Linked DNA regions of Arabidopsis thaliana. The protein of the gene in region 1 interacts with the protein of each later gene in a pairwise test. Each region holds a gene or a part of one and is shown on either strand. Other genes may lie near its edges. The genes, in order: SDR1 and AT3G59740.

Evidence for each region.
Region 2: the proteins of SDR1 (region 1) and AT3G59740 interact in a protein complementation assay, tested with the Arabidopsis thaliana proteins (one large-scale study listed by BioGRID).

What each region holds. Positions count from the first base shown.
Region 1 is NC_003074.8:22,660,834-22,665,052, reverse strand, and holds SDR1 (NAD(P)-binding Rossmann-fold superfamily protein), read right to left. Parts: upstream 2,177-4,219; 5' UTR 2,029-2,176; coding exon 1,663-2,028; intron 1,562-1,662; coding exon 1,496-1,561; intron 1,383-1,495; coding exon 1,212-1,382; intron 1,118-1,211; coding exon 737-1,117; downstream 1-736. Other genes in the region: PLIM2c (GATA type zinc finger transcription factor family protein), read left to right, coding at 78-452.
Region 2 is NC_003074.8:22,066,351-22,071,022, forward strand, and holds AT3G59740 (Concanavalin A-like lectin protein kinase family protein), read right to left. Parts: upstream 2,709-4,672; coding exon 729-2,708; 3' UTR 637-728; downstream 1-636. Other genes in the region: AT3G59750 (Concanavalin A-like lectin protein kinase family protein), read right to left, coding at 3,505-4,672.

The DNA.
Region 1 (4,219 bases):
GCACATAATTCATCAACATTCCTCTGTTTTCTCTTTTTGTTTTCTAATCTGATTTCTTGGTGTGATCATTTGCATAGACGAAGGCTCCAAACAGGTTATCATCCTTCTTTAGCGGCACACAAGACAAATGTGCAGCTTGTAAGAAAACAGTTTATCCTCTAGAGAAGATGACAATGGAAGGAGAATCTTACCACAAGACTTGCTTCAGATGTGCACATAGTGGTTGTCCATTAACACATTCTTCATATGCTGCTCTCGATGGCGTCCTTTACTGTAAGGTCCACTTCAGCCAGCTTTTCCTTGAGAAAGGTAATTACAATCATGTCCTCCAAGCCGCGGCTAACCACCGTCGCTCGACGGCTGAGGAAGACAAAACCGAACCCAAAGAAGATGAAGCAAACCCTACAGAAGAAGAAACTTCTGATGCAGCAGCTGAAGAACATGAATCCTAAGAAATATCCGGGAGTTCCTTTTGTGAAATATATATAATCATAAATTGTTAAAGAGATAATTTCTTAACTAATGCAATGAAGTAGACTCAAATTTTGTTTAGTTTCTTCTTATGGAACTATATATTATTCTGTTTGTAAAGTAATTATATTCAAGTTTATGAGTAATTACCAAAACATCTCATAAAAGTTTTTGTTTATCTAAGAGTATATGTTCGACATTCAAACGATAATCCTCTCATTAAATTACTACATTTTTGGCTTATTATTCTCACACAAAAGAAGATTCAGAATTCTGAAACTTGCTTGCGACTAAAGAAACAACCAGAAGGAGTTTCTTGATGCGGAAGTAAAGCCAACCTCACAGGACTTGAAGCTCCTTCTTCCACAGACAAGACTCCAGTCTTGAAGTTCATATCTGTCTTAACAAATCCAGGACACACAGCGTTTACGCGAAACTCGGGATGTTTCTTCGCCAGGACCCTCGTGTAACCATTCAAACTTGCCTTTGAAACCACATAAGCCGACATAAATTTAGCCCAGTTTTTTTCCTTAACTGTACCTTCTTTGAAATCATTGAGAAGTTGGTTGATCACTTGGTCGATTCTTTCCTCAGTGAGATTCTCTGCGTCGCTCAGGATTCCTTTTGCCCATTCGTTTAGTACATTCTGGTAAACAATAATCAATTGTAACATAAATAGTGTTTCTTAGCCAACAATACATCTCTCAAGCTTCCTTGATATCTAATCTTTTCTTACTTACCTTTAGTTGACCCATGGAGGATGATACATTGACGATTCTTGGTGAATCAGATAACTTCAAAAGAGGAATAAACGCCTCACACATTCTCTTTGGTCCATAGTAGTTTATCTTGATGCATTCTTCAGTTAACTCATAAGTCTCCGTGATGATTTCATCCCACTTGAAACCTTCCTGCCATGTCGAATATAACAAGAAAACATTTAAATACTTCACAGAAGATCATCAATACTAATAATATCATGAAAGTAATTGCTTGCAAAATAATCACAAAGATTATCTCATACTTTCCCTGCCCCAGCTCTTAAAGCTTCAGCATCAGTGATTATACCACCAATCCCTGCATTATTGACCTGTAAAGCAATCATTCTAGTCAAAACCACGTTTGAAACTGTAAAGTCTAAGACCTGTTTCAGAGTAAACTGATCAAAGAGAGTTTACTAATAATGCCTACCAAGATATCGAGTTTCCCAAATTGGGTTTTCACAAACTCAGCAAGAGATGTGATACTAGCAGGATCAGCGACATCAAGCTGATGAAAAAGAAGGCTTTGATCAGAAATCTCAAGCTCTTTCTTCAGTGTCTCAACAGCTTCAAGTCCTCTGTTTTCGTCTCTAGAGGTCAAAACAACTCTAATCCCTTCACTAGCTAATTGTCTGCATATCTCAAATCCAATCCCTCTGTTTGCTCCAGTAACTACAGCATATCTACAAAAACCATTAAACAATCTGAGAAAATCAGAACCAAACTCACTAAGATTACAGACTAAATCAAGAACTAAGAGAAGATTTAAGACATACCTTGGAGTTTCCTCTGCCATTTTCGAACCTTTTTATTTCTGGGTTTTAGACAAAGAATATCAATAATTGGCGTTTCTTTTTTTCTTATGCGCATGCAGTGAATGCACAGAAACCATACGAAGAAATGTGGAGGCAAACGAAGCCACGTAGCTCAGAAATTGATGTTCATGGGAGATTAGACTTCTAATCCGACGCCGTTGTTTTAGTCTTGCATTATTTAAAGTTGAACATGTTAGTATATTTACCTGTGACGTCGATTTTCATAATTTACAGTTTTTTTTTCTTTTTCTTGCATTATATTGACACATATTTGAGATAACTAAAGTTATTATATTTGTTTGGAACAAAACGTTAATAAAGGCAATTTGTTTTCGTTAATAAAGGCAATTTGTTTGGAACAAAACGTTACTGATGATAGTTATCATATTTGGGCGATGGTTAATTACAAACTTACAAGTTATTATAATTTATTTTAGAGAATATTATATTGTGAGACACTTTTAAAAAGTTATTTGTCGATTTAGGCATTTTTAAGTTATGAGACACTTTTGTTAGACAAAATTCTCGATTTGCCCTTTAACTATATCTCTCCTACATTTACGCTAACAATTCTTCTTATTATAATTCTCTCTCTTTCTCGATACAATTCATCTCTCTCTCTCTTCCCCCCCTCCAATTCAATCCATCTCCCCCAATTCAATCCATCGGTTCACGGTAATTTCACAACAACAAAACAAAATCTTTTTTCTTTTCTCCTTCCTCACTCCAAAAACAAAATTTCACAATCAATCAATTGTTGTGAACCAAGCTTCTCGCTCAAATTGATTCTTCATATCTTCTTTCTTATGGCGACATGAGTTAGAACGTTATCGACCGCTTGATCAACATCACCGGCGCTTCTGACGTCGTCGTCGTTCATAAACTCAAGGTGATTTGAGTTTACTCATCTCCATTCATGTTTACTTTTGTCTTGCTTCGTGATTCTTCGTGTTTTTGAGGTGTCATAGTCTGGTTTTGATGTTATTGGAAGTTTCTAGAATCGGTATAGTGGAAAGTTTGATGTGACGAGATGCAGGAAGTTTCAATGTTGCAGAAATTTGAAAAATTGTTGTGAGATTGTGGATTTGATTGATTGTGGAATTGAAATTGTTTGGAATTGAAGGTATAAACTAACCTTAACTCTTATGATGAAATTAGATTGATTTGAACGATTTATTCAGACTTTGATTTTGCTAGTGGAGAGTATTAGCGTCAATTTACACATATATAGTATTTGATTGAGACACATTTATCTCTTTAGGTTTGATATGGAGGAGTGAAGTGCATCCCTTGATTTTTGTGTGGTTATTTCTCCTATAAAACTAAAGATTAATGGTTTGGTTTACTAAAAGCTTCCAAGTGTTTGGTGATCTTGTTCATAATTCTATGATAATGTTAGATAACTTCTCTGCCCCGTTTGTTTGAAATTCAGTACTTGATGTTCTCTATTGGACTACAACATTTGGACAATCCGTAATGGACAACCACGTATTTTGTTTGCAGCATATGTGTCTATAAACAAGTGATCAACCCACATAACGATGAGAGTGTCTATAAACAAGTGAACTAGTGGTCAACAAAAAATGGACGCTACTCGTGAAATTGGTGATATTCATTGATGTATGAACTTTTGTGTGTTGGTATGATTTGTTTTGACCAAGTTGTGATTCTTGCATCACCAATGATACTCTTATTCATTCAAATTATAATTGATGAAAGCTCTAAACATGAATCATTTGTGTTCAAGTGTTTGTCATGTTTCACCATTACTCCATATGGTCAAGTTTAAGTGGATGAGTTATCATGGACACAAACTATCATTATCTACTTGGATTTAGCGTGTTGATGTTTGAAAGTAATGTCTACAGATTGTTCTTGTGTTTTGGAGACCTATATGATTATTAGTTTCTACATAATGAAATCGTGTTGGAAGCTTTGATAATAACATGTCCACTTAGACGTGACCATGTGGAAATAATTGATTCTCGTATGCAAAGTAAAATACTCTTAACTTAGAAGTTCAACGATATTATCAATTTATCGAGCCAAAATCATATGATACCAAACAAGCTGATCAAATGGATATAAAATTCAATACTGGAATTGGCCAATTTGGTTTATTCACAACCTGGTGGTTCATGAAATCGAAAAATAAATTATTTAAGAGCAAAA
Region 2 (4,672 bases), 590 kb from region 1:
ACTATTGTTATTGTTGCTGTTTACCTATTGCTGTTAATTATTTATCTAATGAATATTCATGTTATATGCGGCCAACGAACTAAGATAAGTAAGCAAACTTAAGAGAGAAAAAACACATGTACACTATTTAGTAATTACGCACTGTGCATGGCCAAGATAAAGTCGTAAATCAATTATAAGAAAACAAATCTTCTAATTCTTGCTAAGATTAAATAGCGATTATAGTGGAAAGCATAATAAGCAATAATCAAAAAAACTTTTCTTCTCAGATCTCTACCAAAGAAATAAAAAGGTCAAAAAAGCTTCTCTTATCTTTTCTACAACCTAATCCGTCGAACATTACGGAGCGTAGAAATGGATAAACAATGTAAGTTTAACAACCAACGTGTTGACCATAAAATGTAAAAAAAATAAGTTTTTTGACATGTTTTAATGTAAAGTTTAACAGATTTTGTATTGGTCTACAGAAAAAAAAAAGTTAATTAAGTTATAAGTCATTGCTCTTGAAAATTTGGTTTTATAAACAAATTCGAACAAGATTACTTTGAAAGCAAGAATGAAACAAACATATTATAACCCTAAAAGTAAACCCTAGAAATTTAGGGATGAATTGGAAGGCATTCATGATTCAAAGATACAGAAACATGTACTCATTTATCAAATAGACGGATACAGAAGCTCCCGATGGAATATAAATGTTTGATCAAAACTAACTTATTTTTATGGTTTCAGCGTCCATGGGACACAAAAGAATTCGTCAACGTCATTGTACCAAAAGAATTCAGATCAAGACCAAGTAGTACTTCCATTGATGTCTCAGGAATTCCTCTCAATCTCTCAGCCCTAACAACATCAAGAAGATTATTGGGAAGATGCGAAACGCCATTCAAGATCTGCAAAACCGCACTCATGTTCGGTCTAATCAATTCAGTGTGATGTGCACACAACAGACCTAGCTTCAAAACAAGCTCAATTTCTCCTCTGTTTTGTTCTTGACGAATACTTTCCTCAGCTGCATCGAAAAGTTTCCCACTTTCCCAAAGCTCTAAAATCCAATCAACAAGAACCGCTTCATTTTCTGCTGCACGTCTCTCAATCAATCTTCTACCACAAACGACTTCAAGCATAACCAACCCAAAGGCGTAAACATCTGTGCTTGTGGTTGCTCTTCCTGTTCTTAAGAGCTCAGGTGCAATATAACCTAATGTTCCCGCTACTCTAGATGTCTGAGGATCAAATCCCTGATCATACAGCTTCGCCAATCCGAAATCCCCGAGCCTCGCATTCATGCCGTGGTCGAGTAGAACATTAGCCGGTTTTATATCTCGATGAACGATGACTTGTACCCATTCTTGATGCAGGTGTAGTAGAGCAGTTGCAACGTCTTTGATGATCTTGAAACGTTGTTCCCAAGTAAGCCGTTCTTGATTTTCATTCGTGTTGCTACGGGTTAGACACCTGTCAAGGCTTCCATTAGGCATAAAGTCATAAACTAAGTAGAGATTCTCTTTATGCTTACAATATCCCAAAAGCCTGACTAGATTTGGATGTCTGAGACGACCAATGGTCGATATCTCGGCTAGAAATTCGCTCATCCCTTGTCTTGAATCATGAGAAGTCCGTTTTACAGCGATCTCTGCATCGGAACCCGGAAGCATTCCTTTGTAGACTTGACCAAAGCCTCCTTTCCCAAGAAGTTGTTTCTCTTTGAAACCCTTTGTGGCATTGAAAAGCTCCTTATAAGAAAACCTATGAGGTCCATTCTGAATCTCCCATTCTTCAAGAACCTCCTTAACCTTCTTATGCCTCACATAAAAGACAAAACCTATTCCGGAAGCGACTAATGCAGTGAACACGGCCAACGTTAAGCAGACCGCTAAAATCCTCCGTGTTCTATCATACGACTTCTTTGGATATGGAGGAAGGGTTGGGATTACGCCAAGGTCCCATGCTGGATATATAACTCCTTCTTCATAGGAAAATTGCATCACATAATAGAGTGCTCCGATCGACCCGGTCGATGCCGTGAAACCCAAGTACGTCTCCTCCAAAAAATAGGGCGAGAGATCTCGGTTCAAAGACAAGAGCGATTTTTGTGGCGGAACAGAGATTTCAGCAGGTAATAAAGTAACATTGAGCTGTTTATCGGTGTGACTATAAACGATGGAAAGCCTCATTACCTTTGTGCTGATCAAAGAAAGCTTTTTGAAGTTTCCATCTTCATCATCATAGTAACCAGCAGAAGCAGAGGCAACAGATGTCAAACCATTAATGTTAATCCCAACATGATTATCATCAATATCTCCAAACTCTTCGTCTTTTCGTATATCTAACTCGATAGCTATAACGTTATTCGAGGCTTTACCGTTGTTTGTCTCGTTAAAGATTCCCAGGTATTGATCGGGGGAAGCTCCGGGAAGGCCTCTTGTAGGAGAGAAAACGAAAGCCATACCGTGTGAACCTTGCTGCTTATGTTCAGGGACGATCCCGAAGATGATGTTGAATGAGAAAGATGAGTTCTTGATGGGAACGGGAGTGTTGTTGAAAGCTTGACCGTAGGAATGCTTCGTGGTGTTTGTTAAAAGGCAATAACCGTTTAAACCTGCAGCTGCAGCTTCTTCCATGAGGAAGTTGCCATTGGAGTTGTGAGTAGATGAAAACAGAGTAAGCAACAGAACGAGAACTATTTGTAAGACTTTATGAGACATGTTCTTGTTTGTTATTTTTTGGCTTATGGGAAGGTTATGATCTTAATGTAATATTTATCATCTCATAAGAATTACGGTCGAAAATAATGGGAACCCAACGTTCTTTTTTTCTTTTTATTTTTGTTATTCTTCGTTAGTAATAAAAAAACATATGTATTTAAGCACATGAGCTAGATCAAGTCGTAAAGCAATTATAGTGGGACTGGTAGAGCGTGTCGTCAAAAGACAGAACTTTTCTACGATCTTAATACTTTGAAGTATTAAATTACTAATAACAACAGTGTGAAAAGCATAATTAAAAAGCAGCAATCCAACAAAGCTATTTTTCCACAACCATTTTGTAGAAAAAACAACGTATGTTTAACATTTTTAATTTAGTGTAGATTCTAACAAATTCTCTACTGGTCTGAAGGCAAAAGTGAAGTTATATGTCACTAATTTGTCATGGTTTGATCATTATATATTGAGATTAATCCTATGTAGTGTAACAACATCAAAGTAGTTTAGAATGTTTTTGGTTATATGTCACTGATTTGGCAATTCACGCCATTTTGTTTTGACGCCATTGCTCTTGAAAGTTCGGTTTCTTAAACAAATCCAACAAGAAAACTTTGAAAGCAGAAAATACAAAACATATTATATGTTGAGTCCTAAAAATTTAAGATATAAGAACTTGGGGATGAAACGGAAGGCTTTACTGATTCAAGATAAAGAAACCCTAATGTAGTGATTCATCAAATAGACGATACAAAAGCTTGAATGTAACTGTTCATTCAAACTAACTTCTTTAACGGTTTCAGCGTCCATGGGACAAGAAAGAATTTGTTAATGTCATTGTACCAACTGAATACAGATTAAGACCAAGTAGTACTTCGATTGATGTTTCAGGCATTCCTCTCAAGTTCTCAGCTCTTACGACATCAAGAAGATTATCTGGAAGCTGCGAAACGCCATTCAAGATCTGCATAACCGCACTCATGTTCGGTCTAATCAGTTCAGTGTGATGTGCACACAACAGACCTAGCTTCAAAAGAAGCTCGATTTCTCCCCTGTTTTGTTCTTGACGGATACTTTCCTCAGCTGCATCGAAAAGTTTCCCACTTTCCCAAAGCTCTAAGATCCAATCCACAAGAACTTCTTCATTTTCCGGTGCACGTCGCTCAATCATTCTTCTACCACAAACAACTTCAAGCATTACCAACCCAAAGGCATAAACATCAGTGCTTGTGGTCGCTCTTCCTGTTCTTAGGAGCTCAGGTGCGATATAACCAAATGTTCCCGCTACTCTAGATGTCTGAGGGTCAAGTCCCTGATCATACAGCTTTGCCAATCCGAAATCCCCGATCCTTGCATTCATTTCGTGGTCGATTAGGACATTAGCTGGTTTGATATCTCTATGAATGATGATTTGTACCCATTCTTGATGCAGGTGTAGTAGAGCAGATGCAACATCTTTGATGATCTTGAAACGTTGTTCCCAAGTGAGCCGTTCTTGATTCTCATTACGGTCTAGATACTTGTCAAGGCTTCCATTGGGCGTAAAGTCATAAACCAAGTAGAGATTCTCCTTATGCCTACAATATCCCAGAAGCCTGACTAGATTTGGATGCCTGAGACGACCAATGGTCGATATCTCGGCTAGAAACTCGCTCATGCCTTGTCTTGAATCATGAGAAGTCCGTTTTACAGCGATCTCTGCATTGGAACCCGGGAGCGTTCCTTTAAAGACTTGACCAAAGCCTCCTTTTCCAAGAAGTTGTTTCTCCTTGAAATCCTTTGTGGCATTGAGAAGCTCCTTATAGGCAAACCTATGAGGTCCATATTGAATCTCCCATTCCTCAAGAACCTCCTTAACCTTCTTATGCCTCGTATAGAAGACAAAACAGATTCCCGAGGCGACAAACACAGCGAACACAGCAAGCGTTAAGCAGACCGCTAAAATCTTCTTTGTTCTGTCAGACGAT